Coturnix japonica: one gene and its partners. The protein of the gene in region 1 binds, or shares a complex with, the protein of each later gene. Links are inferred from orthologs where the notes say so. Each region holds a gene or a part of one and is shown in the gene's direction. Other genes may lie near its edges.

Region 1 (3,566 bases):
AATGGGTTGATTAGATGGAGAGAATTCCTCATTCCACAAAGCTATGGAACTCTCTGCTGTGGAGTTACCTTAGCTCCAATAACAACTGCCAGTGCTGTGCAAATCTGCTGCTTTCAGATTACCACTGACTGCTACCAGGGGGGATAATTTGCTCTGTCTGTCTATACAAAATATAGCAGTCTGTTGTTGTATGAATCCCAGCAGCAAGCAGCGTGGAGATGGGGAGATAGATAGAGCCATCTCCTGCAGCACAGATGGAATGCTTTCATGCTTTGTCACATCCCTGTTTCTCACTCAGAATCCATATCTGTGGCCCAGGGATGCAGCCAAGTGTAGCTTATGAACTGCTGGGCAGCTGCAGGGGATGTTCTCTGAGTTGAAGAGTTCAATAGCAGCTGTTTTGGAAAAAAATGTGAAAAATAAGGAACTGGAGGATGAGTCTGTTTATAGCAGCAAGTGGGTGTCGCACAAAATGTGCTCCTGTGAGATGAGCAACGAGCACACTGGCTCATTAGACCTAATTATATCTCAATCCCACACACGTTACTGACATCAGTGACACCCAGATGCTGTTGTTTCCAGCAGAGTCCATCCCACCTGCTGTACTTTCTCCATGTTCCATATTTCATGCCCTGTGCATCTGCTGGCCTGGCTGCCTCTGCTCTTGTTCCAGTCTGGTTAATTTTCCCTCGTGCAGATGAAGAGAACTATGAGGTGAGCAGCGATGAGGAGGATATGCCTTTCAAATGCTTCATCTGCAGAAGTTCCTTCAAGAACCCCGTGGTCACCAAGTAAGGAGCCAAAACATCTGTAGTGGGCTGAGTCCTTCAGTCAGTCAGTCATTCTCTTTGGTAGCAAACACTGGCATTGTCCACATGCTGGTGGAAGGAGCACGCTTGTTTGCTTTTCTGGTGGGTGGGGAAAGCCTCTGCTATGCAGGGAGTTTCATAACTACATCTCAAGCATCAACTTGGTGGGGTCTCAAGCCTTTGTTGTCCAAGAACCTTTTATATTTCTATAGATGCTGCCTGATCACATCACCTTGCACCTGTGCTGTCTCTGGGAGAGCTGATGCTGCATAGGGCTCTGTACATCCAGCTTATTTTTGCATCCCTCAGGGCTCAGTAGTTGATGATCTCTAACTCCTGGATGCAGCAGTTGTATCTGGTGACTGGCAGTACCGTCTGTTTCTCCATACAGGTGCAGGCATTACTTCTGTGAGAGCTGTGCCCTCCAACACTATCGCAAATCCCAGCGCTGTTACGTGTGTGATAAGCAGACCAATGGAGTCTTCAACCCAGCCAAAGGTAACGGCCACCTGTGGGATAGAGCTGCTGTATGATCACAGCATTCGGCTGCAAGGTGGAGCTCACAGGCAGAACTTCTCTCAGTGCTTGGAAACACCACATCAGGGCCTGGGTGCCACCACAGGGGTAAAAAAAGAGTGTTTGTGTTTGCCCAGAGGGGGAGACTGATTTCTGGTGAGGGTGCTGGGAGTGCAGACAGTAGCTCTTCTGGTCAGTAATCCACTGACAGAGCCTGGAACTTTAGCATCTGAAGCCCCACTGAAGGGCTCAGTGTTTGGTGGTAGTTCCTGGCTTAGCTTTTGTGCAGATGAGTGATTTTTGGTAGGTGCTTTGGTTCCAGGACAGAGCTGTGTTGGCAGGTCCTGGGCATCCAGCTTTGCTACTGGCCATTCCATGTTGCACCTGGAATCTCATCCTGCATCTTCCTGCTTTTCAGAGCTCATGGCAAAATTGGAAAAACACAAAGGGGAGGAGGAAGAGGAGGAGTCAGACCACTCAGAACATGGTGAAGACCCACACTAGCAAAGCACTCTGTTTTGTATGGAGCCCAATAAAGTTTTCATGGGAAGAATGCACAGATCACAGCACTTGCCTTTGGGCCAGCAGCTGCAGCCATTGGTGGTTCATCCAACCAGGCCTTGTTAAAATGGGGGCACGAGTGGTGCCAGTTGTCAGAGAAGACACAGGACAGAATGGGTAAGCTGAGTTGTCTTCTGTGCCATTAGTAGGACCACGAGGGCCTGGGGAGGGAGGGTCTGAATTTTGTTCAGTCAAATCAAATGCTAAAAGCAGAGAGAAGAATGAAAACTATTGGCTTGTACCAAGTTTATCTGTCACTTTGGAAATGCTGTTTGGGAGGTAAGCCAGACTGCTGCAGTTAGTTGTGATTTATTGCAGCTCAGAGGAGCGTATTCCCTCCCATCTTTTCTGCTGCCTTTTGATCTCTAGAAGTCAAGAGCTTAAAGTAACATCAAACAGGATTCAGGACTTCAGAGAGTGATACCACTGTGGAATCATCCCTTGGGGAGGAAGCCAGCAGCTGTACCATGTCCCTAATGCAAGGTTTTATGCCATCAGTGGTACTTCTCTCAATGATTTTTCCCTTGCTGCAACCAGCTCTGTCCAGGCCTGTGGGATGGGGATAAGAATTTGGGCAAGAAGGAAACTTCACAATGGGTTGAACTGCAAGATGCAACCTCCTAAGTATGGAGCTGAGAAGAGCATAAGCTTCCATCACCCTGCAGAAACAGCAGACTTACAAACTTCAGAAATATTTTATTTTGGAAAAAAAAAAAAAAAAAACCCAAAAACTAGAGTAACAAATTTCATCTGGCTTCAAGTCGTTTACAAACAGAAGGACCTGCTGTCAGCACCGCTCCTCCCATCAAGCACGCTTACAGGGCTGGAATCCCAGTGCTTCATTTGAGAGTGGAAAGAGCTCCAGCACCTGTGGTCCTTGGAAAGGTCAAACTAAAAAGCCTTAAACACGCCTCCAAAACCAAATGCTGTGAGCTGTCACAGCCAGGGATCAAGGGAAGCTGTGTGAAAAGCAAGCAAAGGATTTTTATATCTCATTCATTTGGGGATGATGGTACAGCAATGGCAACAGAGGGCTTAGATCAGTGAGCGTAACATTCAAAGAGGTGTTTTGTGAGTAAGAGGATTTGGTGTGAAAATTACTTTCCCTCCATGCCAAGTCACTGAGCACGGGCTGGTATGGATATTCCATGCTGTAAAAGCAGCCCAGCTAACAGGAGGCTGAGCTGGATGTGCTGTGGGAGGTTAGAAAAGCTGGTATGTTGCACAGAATTACACATTAGGATTTGATGACCCAGGCAGCCATGGGAGGAGATGGGGATGGCATCTGACCTGGAGCTCAGAGCACACAGCCTCAACTGAGAGGAGTCTTAAAAGCTCTCTCCAGAGCTGGAGCAGAGCTCAGAAGTGCAGAGGAAAGCCCAGTGCAGTGAATGTGCCCGCGACAGCCTCAGGTTACCTTCTGGTTCTCATTTTCCACCATAAAGAAGTGACCAAGCTTAAGAATGCACTCCTTTCTGCACCCTCAGAAGTTACCCAGTAACAACACAAATCCGACTAGCTCTAAGAAAATGCCCAAAACTAAGAACTGCTTTCCTCCCCTTCTTAACTCTAAGGCACCCTTTAAAAAATACATATAAAAAAATAGGGTCGTGCAGCCTTCACCTGTGAGACGAGGAAGCCAATCCTTTTTAGAAACAAGGGGAAAGAGACCATAACTGA
Region 2 (3,566 bases), on another chromosome or scaffold:
TAATGAAATAGATGATTACTGAAAAAGTCATTTGAAAGGAGAGACTACCGAAGCTATTTTTAGTTTGAAACACAATCTGAAAATATGACTTTTATACTTACTAATATTTGATTGCTGCATTTGGCAGGTGATATCTATTCACCTTTCCTATTAGCACAGTATGCGGAAATGAGGCTGGATAACTAACCTTGCTCCAGGGCACAGTCACAGCTCAGCTGTCACCTTCCCAGTCCTGGTCCAGAGTGAAGCCCTGTCTGCTCCCTTGTGAACCTCTTTGATTTTGGCACAGAAGTCTCCAAAGTATTTTACAGCACTTCCTGTAATGGCAGCTCAATAACATTTCAAGTGCACAGGGGCACGATTCCACTGTGACAGAAGATTATCTTATCTGGGGGCAAAGTGTGGGGCAGGTGAGTGCCAGGCAGCGCTGAATGGAACACCCAGACACGATTCTTGTTTTCCATGGGCTCTGCTTGCGGCCTGGGAAGTTGGCTTTGGGTTCAGATTTTGCATCATAGGGTTTCCATATATAGTCACTGGTGATCTATGCAACCTCAGAGGAAAATCTGGGGGATAAAGGAGGAGCCTGCTCTGCTTATGGCATGTGCAGGGAATGACCACACGGTTCCACCTCCTCCTGCTCTGTTTGCAGCCGCTCTGCTGTTGGTCGCAGTGGAGGTGGCACATCCACGCCTCCCAGCCATGCTGAGAATAAACACAGTGCAGTCTGTTTGGTACTTCAGAATGCCTCATCTTTATCAGTGCCGGCTTGTGGCCTGTGAGCTGTTTTCTCAAACTTACATTGAGCTCTTCTATATAATGGAAAATGCAAAGGTCTATAATTCCTGTTCCAGGCTGTGCTGGCTGAGCATTAGGCACTGTGCTGCTGTGCCAGTAGGCTAATGAGGGATTTGTGCTTAATTCTCATGGAGAAAGTGATTCTGGGTTTCAGTAATTAAAAACATAGTCCTTTTAACTCGCTGTCTTCTGGCTGCTGCTTCATGTAGATGCTGGAAGCTTGGAACAATTCCAGAGGTCAGGAATTGTTTGACAAACAGCAATTTTTAATTGGCCATTTTTAATTTAAAGGGAAAACGTTTGGTTCTTGTGTTTGAAGAATAAAGTAAAATCATTCCAATTCCATCTATTCCATTGGTGTCTCAGCACCTTCGCTGCATCCCCACCTCACCGTGACAGCCGTGCTGCCAGGCCTTGCACCCATCTCCATTCCACCACCTCCAGCAGCCTGATGAGGCCATCATTCAGCATCTGCTGAACCTGTGAAGGGTGCAGCAGGCTCGGGGCTTCGGCCGCTTGCTGCTACATGCCATCTCCATCGCATCTGCTTATGTTTGCATATCATCTGAGAATTTCTACTCCTCTGGGTTAAGGCTGATAGTGCATCTGCTTTGCAAATGATGAGGAGTTCCTTCAGGACATCCTTTGAAGCAATGTTACCTATTTCTGGAAGGGAGTGTGGAACATGAGTGTGTCTGGGGGCAGAGGTGTGTGAGCTGCAGTGCTGGTGAGGAGTGGGGCCAAGGCTGCAGGGCTGCAGGCTGTGTCTGGATGGCTGCAGTGCGACGGGCAGAGCTGAGCAAGGCAAAGTGGGAGAGGAATGCAGTGCACAGAGCACAGTGCAGCCAGTGGAGCCTGCATGCTGTGCAGGTGTGCTGTTGGTTTTGGGCAGCACGTGCAGCCCTGCTGCATTCCAATCCCTGCTTGTTTGTGTGCAACTACAGAGTGAGGCAGGTAATAGGCAGTACACGAGTGACCTCCCATAGAAACACACAGGGATATTCATTATCAAAGCAAAATGTTGGCATTTTGTAGTAGGCTGAATGCGATTTGGCCAGAAGAGCTGGTGCTGGGATCCATCTTCATGACGGCAGGGTGTGCTGCAGCTTTACCGTGCACCTTTCAGGCAGTGTGGGAGGGGGTTGTTGTACAGAATCAAGCTGATGTAATTGAGCTGAATTGAAGTAGTGGCTCCTTTTCTCCTCCTGATTACAGAAAGTCCTGCAGGGTTTGTACTCTTTTGCTTCCTCTTGTAAAACTGCAGAGTGGGCAGCACTCAACTCTATTAATAGGTCTTTTGAACATGATTAATTGGGTTTTTAAGTGGGTCATTTTCTTCCAGAATTGCTGGGTTAGTTAATTCCACCTGCAGCTGCCCACCTGTGAGTCATTGTTCTGGTGGTATCATCTGGAACTCTGCTCTCGTTTGATGCACACTTGTGATTTTCCACACGTGGTTTTCAGTAGGAATTTGTTTTATGCTCTCACTTAATTTGCTGCTTGTCCGTGCAGCTGTGTCATCAAGTAGCCTCTGTGTGTTACATGTGCAAGTAGCCACTGCATGCTGCAGGTCTTTTACTGACCTCTGCTCTGTAAGTGATTCAGTGACTCAAGAGGACTCTTGAGTGGTTCTGCACATGGACCAGTCTTTGATGCCTGTCTGGGTACTTGTGTTTGTTTTATTTTTAATCCTGTCCTAAGGTGATATATTTTTCATGGTTTGTCAAGCAAGATTATGGATTTGGCCGTAAAATTGTGACTCATCTCAGCCTTCGTTTTTCTTATTAAGAACGATCCTGGAGGAAAGTGCAAATGAAAATGGCAGGTCTGTCATAAATAATGTAAAAATGACAGCCTGGAGAAGTCTCACGGACCCTCTTTTCTATCCACAGATGCAGAAATCAGTTTTGAGGGCTGGGTCTGTGGCTGGCACAAAGTTTTATCATCCACAGACTTAATTGTATTTAAGGGTTTACATCATCCATGTATCTAGTCTGAGATATCTATTTATTTTGAAGGAATATAAATCATCTTTTTTTCATTGTTTATCCAGAAGCTTTTGAGCTTGTAGTCCCTATTCTTAGTTGATGCTGTAAACATATTCCATCTCCCTAATGTTATAATTTTGGAAGAATTGCTGTATCCAGAGTGCAGTTAAATCAGTAATTCTTTGCTCCCTGTCTTTTTTCAGTCAACCACACTTGAAGACTGAATGTCTCAAAAAAGAAACACTGTGGTGGATGAGCAGTACAAATAAATGAATCCTCGGCAGTTCTTTGCCACATGATACGTAATGCTGCTGATAAACAGTCTCATCTGTTGCAGATGATAGTGGTGCGGAGGCACAGAATTGTATTGCTGGTTACAGACATCTGATTTCAAGGGCGTGCTCAGATACTGGCCTAGTCATAGGGATGAGGTAGGAATATATTACAAACACAGCAATCAGAAGCCCCAGGAACTTGGAATTTACTGCCGGTGTCTGATGTAAGATGTACTGGGAGGCTAATGAAAACAAACATGTCATCTATCATTTTTTCTTTTTTTTCAGGAGGAGAGTCGTATTGGGGAAAACCATTTAAAGATGAATTCAAGCCCAACTTGTCCCATACAGGACGTGGTATCCTTAGTATGGCCAATTCGGGGCCTAACACCAACAAATCGCAGTTGTAAGTTGTCACTTGTACTTTGTATTTTACATTTTCCTTCTGGACATTGTGCCTTCTGCTGTGGAGAAAATAAATGACATTTTATGAGCTGCTCCTTAA
Region 3 (3,566 bases), on another chromosome or scaffold:
TTGCTATTGTTTATTAAGTTCTACGTTGCCTATTTTCTTTGTTTACAAAAAATCCTTTCTGTCTCCCTTTCCCTAGAGGAGTATTACTGATGCTGTAGGAAAGCATTATGTGAAAAATGCACGCTGGTTTTGATGGATGAAGTTCTTAGGGCACAGAATTTGTGATAAGCTGGCATTTATATGAAAGAGTAGGATGGTGTTCAGAAATAGATAACTGAATTTTAACTGAATTACAGCAGGCAGTTGTAATTGAGATTTGAGGAGATTTTTATGTTTGGTTGTTTGTTGGTTTTTGTTGTTTTTTTTTTTAATTTTTCTTTTTGCTTCCTTGTGGATTTTGTTTAAAACTGACAGAGGTGGGGAGGGGGGGGGTCAGGAGCTCTAATTTTTCCAAGTCTGCACTATTTAAAGTATGAAAATCAATACATTCGTGCAGTCTGCAGACGTAGTGATACAAATGCATGGGCACATATTTGATGAAATACTAGTTTTTAGTGGCTCTCCTGTTACTGTACATGTAGCAGTGTTCATAATTTAATAAGTCAGCAGTGCTTTGGCCCCTAAGTGTGTTCTCCATTTTCCTGTGTGTGTTGGATGGAGTGATGGTGATAGTGTTGTTGTGTGGTGGTGGTGGTGTTTGTTTTAGATTGTTGTGATGAGACCTATGATGCTGAGGCATGTTATCTGTATGAGCAGCTAAGCAGTGTATTGTTTCTTTCTCTAGGTTTAACAGTGTTTGAAACGGGACAAAAGAAAATTGAAAAAAGGAAGAAATTCAAGGAGAATGATGCATCTAACATTGATGGTTTTCTGGGACCATGGGCGAAGTACGTTGACGAAAAAGAAGTAGCCAAACCTTCAGAAGTAAGTACTGCTTTAAGACTGTAAACACAAACTGCTAGTGCATCGTGATGCAATAATATATTATGTGGTGGTTTTAATAGAGATCCAGTGTGTCTCAACCAGAAGGTGTGCTTTAGGGTGATAGAAACATTCCCAGTTCTAACGGTGAATAGGGGGGTTCTGAATGTTGTGCATTCCATTGTATTGAAAGACTGGAAATAGAATGAATTATATCTGTGTGTTACATGTAGAGTCTGACGAAAGATCCTTATAAACAGGAGCAACTTGGAAAGAAATGAAAGTAAATTTATATTTATTTTAAGGAAAAGGGAGATTGGTCTTTTTGTTGTTGTTCTTTTCTTTAAAGCAACAACACAACCAATAAATGTCCTTCACATTGAGTCCATGGTGCTTAGCCATAGTCTGTAAATAAAATGATTATATTTAATTATTTTCAGTGTACTTAGCTTTTCAAGCTAATCTGCTTTTGATAAAGGTATTCTATTGATGCTTAGAAATATTTCTGATCTCACTTAGCAATATGTGTATTCTTAATAGCAAATAAACAGTAATGCAGTTTTGGATTTTGTTAAATCGTTCTGAACGTTTATTTTGTTAAAAGTCAAGATCATGTTTTATTTTTCCAGGAAGAACAGAAGGAGTTGGATGAAATAACAGCTAAGAGGCAGAAGAGAGGAAAACTAGAAGATGATAAACCTGGAGAGGAGAAGACTATATTACACGGTAATGGCATCTTCCTGCCTGTTCTCATTTTCCTGCACACCGTGTTTTCTTGCCTGCTGTGTTAATTAGTAAGGATGGCAGACAGCCTCAGCAAAACTGCTGAGGCACCTTGATGTTTCTGTTTTGGAGATAATAGCACTCACAGGCATAAGCATAAAGGGCAAGGAAAGAGATAAGCTTGGACCAATTCCACATCATACTGTGAAGAGCAGCGTGGAAATGTCATCTTTCAGGGTACTGGTTTTATTTATTTCTTTTTAATCTCAGTAGGTATGCATATCTTCTTCATATTATAGAAAGGAAAAAAACGGTGAGATTATGTGCTTGGTTTAGCCTGAGCTTCGGAATGACCACAGTTTTGTCTTTTGGTACTTTTATCAGCAAGTAGTGCTTTGAATTACAGACATAACATTTAGAAAATCACTTGGACCCTGTACTTCCTCCATTCTTAATGTGAACATTCTTGCTATCATACTATGAATAATTATTTATCAAATGATTACCCTGTTGAGGCCTATAGCATACGATAACCTCAAAGAAAAACATGAGAAAATAAAGTAAGTAAAATTAAGTGATTTTTGGAAACTGTTGTTTCATCTGTCTGTATGCAAAACTGTCCTACGTGGCAACACTTGGCACAGGTAGTTCCACCTGTCTGTGTACCATCACCTAAAGTTTCACAGTCGAAGTCCTTACAAGATAAATTTTAATCTTCTCAAACTGAAGCCTTCCAGAAAAAAACACTGCTCTGTAGACACCTTCAGACATTGATGCTGAGCAGAAGGTCATTTGTACAAGCAAAACAGTCATATCAATACCCAAGAAACATAAATTAATTAAATCAGCGCACATCTTAATGTCAACAGATGAGTCTACTTTGGAATATCAATTTACAGGACAATGCACCCTGCATGTGTGAGCATCCAGGCACTTCTGCGAAATCTAGTTAAAGAACAGATGTTAGCTGCTGACTGCTATTGGTGGAGCAGTTGGTTCATATTGATGAAGGATCTTTTTTTTCTCTGATTTGCAATTCTACTGAAATGACTGTTAAAGCACAGAGCCCGGTGGAATGTAAATTGCAAGCAAATGCCAGAGTTAGAGTGCAGGTTATAAACTGTGTGGAGTTAGTGCGAGCAAACCCCTATTGTCTTCAGGAACACTGTGGCATTTTGAGGTAAGCTGGGTAAGGGGGAGATTGTTTTGTTCAAATTATCAGCTTCCAATCAGATTTGCTGAAATGGCTTCATTTAAGTACAACTCATCAGAATCCATATCCTATGACATGGATTTATTTTCTTATCATCCCTCTTCCCACCCTTCTTCAGAGCAAGTCAGCTGTGTTGAAAAAAGCCTTAAATATGTGTTAGTTGAATCTTCCTAAGATTATTACCCCTTAAAATACAATCTCTGAGATTCTCTGAATTCTCCATTTACCTTTTTAGTTAAAGAAATGTACGACTATCAGGGGAGATCTTACCTTCATGTTCCTCAAGATGTTGGAGTTAATCTCCGTTCCACAATGCCACCTGAGAAGTGCTATCTTCCAAAGAAACAAATCCATGTATGGTCTGGACATACAAAGGTAGGAAGTTTTGGAATGTACCTCATAAAAATGCACTTTGTTTTCAATCTGAACTTATATAAAACTGAATCATTGGTAGAAGAAACAGAGGTTTTTTCTCGTTTATGACATCGTGCACACAGTTGGCAGCATTATACACCTGCACAAGGTGTTCACATGGTCAGATATGATTGTTTGTGATATCTGTATAAACTTTTTTCATGAGCATCCCCACATCTTTTGAAGGAACGAATATTCTTCATTCACCTTTGCGGGGTTTTGAGTTATTTACTAAATTGCCACGTGAATAAGAGAAAGACTAATTCTAGAGATAACAGAAAATGCATTTGTAGACTAGAAGTACTTAAATGCTATTTCACATCAAACCAATGAAAAGTTGAATAGGTTTTGTCAT
Region 4 (4,258 bases), on another chromosome or scaffold:
TACTATATAGACTTACGGTAGCCACATTTCTTGCATCCTGCTCTGATGTTATCCTTATTTGCACCTGAAACAGAAAATTTCATCAATCACTTGTTACTAAACATAAGTCTTAAAAGTTCCCTTTAAATCTGGCTTAGTAACTCTTCTGGATTTAGGCAAAGTTGCTCTTTGTGCCTACGCCCTCAGTTAAGAAGATCAGCAAGATCTAACTCACAAGACAAAGCCTGGAGACCTGTTGCCCACAAAAGGATTGCTGAGTCAATTCATAATTCTAAGCAAAACAGCATTTCCAAAATCAAAGGGTATCTTTCTATCCAGTATGAAAAATATGGAAAATTAAACAGTTGTATACACAGCTTTCCATAAAACTAGTTCCTTTATTTAAATAATCAACCTAACATAAGAAGAAAACTATGAAATTAGGGAACCAGAAAGGGGGTACATCAGCATCACGAGTTTAAATTTTGATTTATTAAGAGAAGTACCATCTTTAGTAAATCCTACTAAAAGAACCAGAGGAGCCTTGAAGTCCCATGGTTTGCTGTTGAACTCACAGCAAGGTTCAAGCTTACTCAATTTTCTCCAGTCAAACCCATACCTCAGGATGACACAGGCTGAATACCTGGTGAAATACACAATTTCTGCCCGCGCTGGCTGCACCACTGCTCTTAAACCCTTCATTTAAACAACCTAGCTGCAGGCAGGCGCTAATCTGGGGCACAAGGAGAAAAAAAACATGCGGAACGATGCCATTCTTGGGACCCCTAAGGAAGGCAGCGTACACCTGCAGAAGGCAGGAGCGCAGCCGTGGGCCTCAGCACCCACAAAACTACAGGCGAGGGCCGCATACGGAGCGCAGGAGGGCTGCTGGAGCCCCCAGCCCCGCCGTACCATTGCAGCTCTGCAGGCTGGGAAACGCACCGCAAGCCGCTCCTCGGGCCCCACCACCTCACGAACAGCGCTGCCGACCCTCCCCCTCCGCACGCCTCCCAGCCATCCGCCCCGCAGCCCCGCGGCTCTCCTCACCCGGCAGAGCCATGGCGTCCTCCACACAGCCGGGCCCAGGAACAACGCAGCGCCTGTCCCCGCCGGAAGGATTTGGCCGGAGCACTCTCGGGCCGCGCCACTCGCGGGGAGGACGGGGTGCTCAGTACCGAGCCGGGGCGACGAGAAGCGAGCGGAGGTGTCTGGAAAAGCCTTCACATCCTTTCGGAAAGAATTCACTGAGTGATTCCCCCATCGGAGGAGCAATTCTTTCTCCCACAGCTCTGAGCAGTCACACCTTCCCCCCGCCACATTGTACTGTGTAGAGGCGCCCAAGATGGCGGCGGGCTGCGGGCAGTAGCGCGGGTAGAGAGGCAGTGTTGTTAGCGTTGGGCTCGGGCGGTGCGTTCCGCCACGACACCCCTTCCTCAGCATGAGCAACATCTACATCCAGGAGCCCCCCACCAACGGCAAGGTGAGGATCCTGCGGGCAGCGAGGGCGAGGGGCACGAGTCCGGTGTTATCGCTCTCGGACGCTTATGTTTACCGCTTTGATAGGAATTCGCATTTATTGATCTGTATTGATGTCTCTTGTAATAAGAGCGTGCCGCTAGAGGTTTAAGGCATATTCCTTTTCTGTGTTGTCTCACTGTGGAAATACTAAGAGTATTTAATATTCTACCCTCCGTTAGTTGTCATCCCCCACCAGCTCAGGCTGCCCAGCGCCCCATCCAGCATGGCCTTGACTCCTCCAGGGATGGAGCACCCACTGCTTCTCTGGGCAGTGCCTCACCACCCTCTGAGTAAATAACTTTTGCCACTCAGCCAATCTAAATCTTCTCTCTTCCACTTTAAAACCATCCGCCCTTGTCCTGTCACTAACTACGCATGTAAAAAATTGGTTTCCTTCTTGTTTATATCCTTACTTTAAATACTGGAAGGCTGTAGTGAGGTCTCCCAGGAGCCTTCTCCAGAACAAGTCCGACTCCTGCTTACTACTTATCTACGGCTGTTGTTAATGTTATGAATTTAGGAGTGTTTTTTAACTTAGTAGTAATATTTGTTTATTAGTGTCTAAGTTGCAATAAAACTAATGGTTTGTTTATAAAAATTTTGCAGGTCTTGCTGAGAACTACAGCAGGAGATATCGATATAGAATTGTGGTCAAAAGAAGCACCAAAAGCATGTCGAAATTTTATCCAGCTTTGTATGGAAGGTAATGGCAAAATGGGGTAGGACTTGTTAGAATTATTTCATGTGCAATATTGGTATTTTGGTGACAGTTATGGAAAAGGTAGGTCATAAGTAAGTTTTAATATGTTAACTAATTATTTATATTATCTGCTATCCAGACCAAGAACGTTTTTTTAAAGTCATTAAGGAAACCAATGGATGTGAAAAGTACAATTTTTTGGTGGTTTTCTTAGATGTAGGAGTTGTCACATGTTTAGGAAGGCTTGTCTTCAGGAAGTTTATACAAAGTATTGCAGCTTTAATGAACGTAGAAAATGTCAGTGATGCTGTGTTTGGACTTCTCCTGTTAAGGTCATTCCTGTATCATGTGCTTACTGCATGTTCATTTCTTCATGAGTCACTGATATGTCTGCATAATCTCTATTGAGGTGTGATTTTAGATAACTTAAATGTATTTAATGTATTTTCTCTTTCTTTTTTAGAGTATTACAATAATACAATATTTCACAGAGTTGTGCCAGGTTTTATAGTGCAGGGAGGTGATCCCACTGGTACTGGGTCAGGTGGAGATTCAATCTATGGAGCTCCCTTCAAGGTATGTAGCTGTATATCTTGTGCATGTTGATGTTTGCTTAGTCTCTGGCAGTTGTCCTTGCTACTGTGTGTGAATTTTTTGAGTAAACAAATTTTGTATAAGGAATGCAGTTTATTCTATATTTTATGCTAAAGTTCATTCATATTCTAAATTTGCACATGCTTCAATATTTTTGAATGTGCATTTTAGAATTGAGTGTTCTTAAATCTGTCTGTTTCAGTTCTGTGATAAACGTATAACCCTATTAATGTTCACTTCAACAAGATAAAACTAGGAGAGAAAACTGTTCAGAGCAAGTGTTTTAACTTCATAAAGTTAAACAAGAACAAGTGCAGTGTCCTGCTCCTATATCGGGACAATCCTAAGCACAAGTACAGGCTGAGCAGAGAATGGATTGAGAGCAGCTGTGAGGGGTGCTGGTTGATGAGAAACTCAGTGTGAGCCCACAGTGGGAAATGCAGCCCAGAAGGCTGACTGTATCCTGGGCTTCACTGAAAGGGGGACATGGCTGTCCTCTGCTCTGCCCTCATGAGGCCCCATCTAAACTATTTCATGCAGGTCTAGAGTCTCCAGCACAAGAAGGAACATAGGAAGCAGGCCCAGAGGATGCCACAAAGGTGATCAGAGGGCAGGAGCACATCTGTGAAGAATGGTTAAGGGAGCTGGACTTGTTCAGCTTGGAGAAGAGAGGAGTCTGCAGAGGCCATACAATGGTCTTCCAGTACCTAAAGGGGACCTACAGGAAAGCTGAAGAAGGACTCTTTGTCAGGGAGTGATAAAAGATAGGGGTATTTTGTACAGTAGATTTAAGTTAGACATTAGGAAGAAATTCTTAACTCAGAAAGTGATAAGGCAATGAACAGATGGCCTGCAAAAGCTATGGATGCGTCATCCCTGTGAGTGCTTAAGGCCAGGCTGGATGGGGCTTTGGATAACCCAGTCTAGTGAGAGGTAACCCTGCCCATGACAGGGGGTTGGAACTGGGTGATATATAAGGTCCCAAAGCATTCTATGGATTTGTGTGTCAAACTGAGGAGCAGAAATGTGAGTTATGTACATTTTACCTGAACTGGCAAAGGTCTGTAAATGTAGTCACTAGTATTACTGATAGTAGCACATCTCATCTCTTGGTCAGGGTCTTCAGATTCTGAGTGAGGTTACACATGCACAGTAGCTGTGCTCTAGTTCTGGTTCAGAATTTCAGATAGGGTAAACATCTTTAGCTGGCGACTGAACCTGTGTGACCTTTCTGGGCCTTCAGTCCAACAGCTGTAATTGTAATGCAAATCTGAAGTTTGTGGGAGGGATCGCTGCCTGAGAAAACATCAAAACAAATGTTTCTAATACTGTAGTAACAACACTTCTTTAATTTGGTATTATTGTTAAGTGTGAAAGCACTTAGGAGTTTTATACTACTGTGGTATTAATGCATTACTTATCAATATCATCTTCATTTGGTGCCCTCTTTTGTTTTCTCATGGTCCT

Evidence for each region.
Region 2: RNF113A (region 1) and PPIL2 share a complex: the UniProt entries of both Homo sapiens proteins name them as parts of the minor spliceosome. The link is inferred for Coturnix japonica from reciprocal best matches to the Homo sapiens genes RNF113A and PPIL2.
Region 3: RNF113A (region 1) and CDC40 share a complex: the UniProt entries of both Homo sapiens proteins name them as parts of the pre-catalytic and catalytic spliceosome complex. The link is inferred for Coturnix japonica from reciprocal best matches to the Homo sapiens genes RNF113A and CDC40.
Region 4: RNF113A (region 1) and spliceosome-associated protein CWC27 homolog share a complex: the UniProt entries of both Homo sapiens proteins name them as parts of the minor spliceosome. The link is inferred for Coturnix japonica from reciprocal best matches to the Homo sapiens genes RNF113A and CWC27.

What each region holds. Positions count from the first base shown.
Region 1 is NC_029542.1:2,233,418-2,236,983, forward strand, and holds part of RNF113A (E3 ubiquitin-protein ligase RNF113A), read left to right. Parts: intron 1-697; coding exon 698-791; intron 792-1,200; coding exon 1,201-1,307; intron 1,308-1,743; coding exon 1,744-1,829; 3' UTR 1,830-2,003; intron 2,004-3,510; exon of another isoform or gene 3,511-3,566. UniProt on the Homo sapiens protein: Required for pre-mRNA splicing as component of the spliceosome. As a component of the minor spliceosome, involved in the splicing of U12-type introns in pre-mRNAs. E3 ubiquitin-protein ligase that catalyzes the transfer of ubiquitin onto target proteins.
Region 2 is NC_029530.1:456,556-460,121, reverse strand, and holds part of PPIL2 (RING-type E3 ubiquitin-protein ligase PPIL2), read left to right. Parts: intron 1-3,349; coding exon 3,350-3,467; intron 3,468-3,566. UniProt on the Homo sapiens protein: Has a ubiquitin-protein ligase activity acting as an E3 ubiquitin protein ligase or as an ubiquitin-ubiquitin ligase promoting elongation of ubiquitin chains on substrates.
Region 3 is NC_029518.1:60,620,753-60,624,318, reverse strand, and holds part of CDC40 (pre-mRNA-processing factor 17), read left to right. Parts: intron 1-724; coding exon 725-864; intron 865-1,490; coding exon 1,491-1,587; intron 1,588-3,032; coding exon 3,033-3,172; intron 3,173-3,566. UniProt on the Homo sapiens protein: Required for pre-mRNA splicing as component of the activated spliceosome. Plays an important role in embryonic brain development; this function does not require proline isomerization.
Region 4 is NC_029547.1:21,417,319-21,421,576, forward strand, and holds the start of spliceosome-associated protein CWC27 homolog, read left to right. Parts: upstream 1-1,417; coding exon 1,418-1,459; intron 1,460-2,103; coding exon 2,104-2,200; intron 2,201-2,660; coding exon 2,661-2,773; intron 2,774-4,258. Other genes in the region: protein SREK1IP1, read right to left, coding at 4-64, 1,027-1,428. UniProt on the Homo sapiens protein: As part of the spliceosome, plays a role in pre-mRNA splicing. Probable inactive PPIase with no peptidyl-prolyl cis-trans isomerase activity. As a component of the minor spliceosome, involved in the splicing of U12-type introns in pre-mRNAs.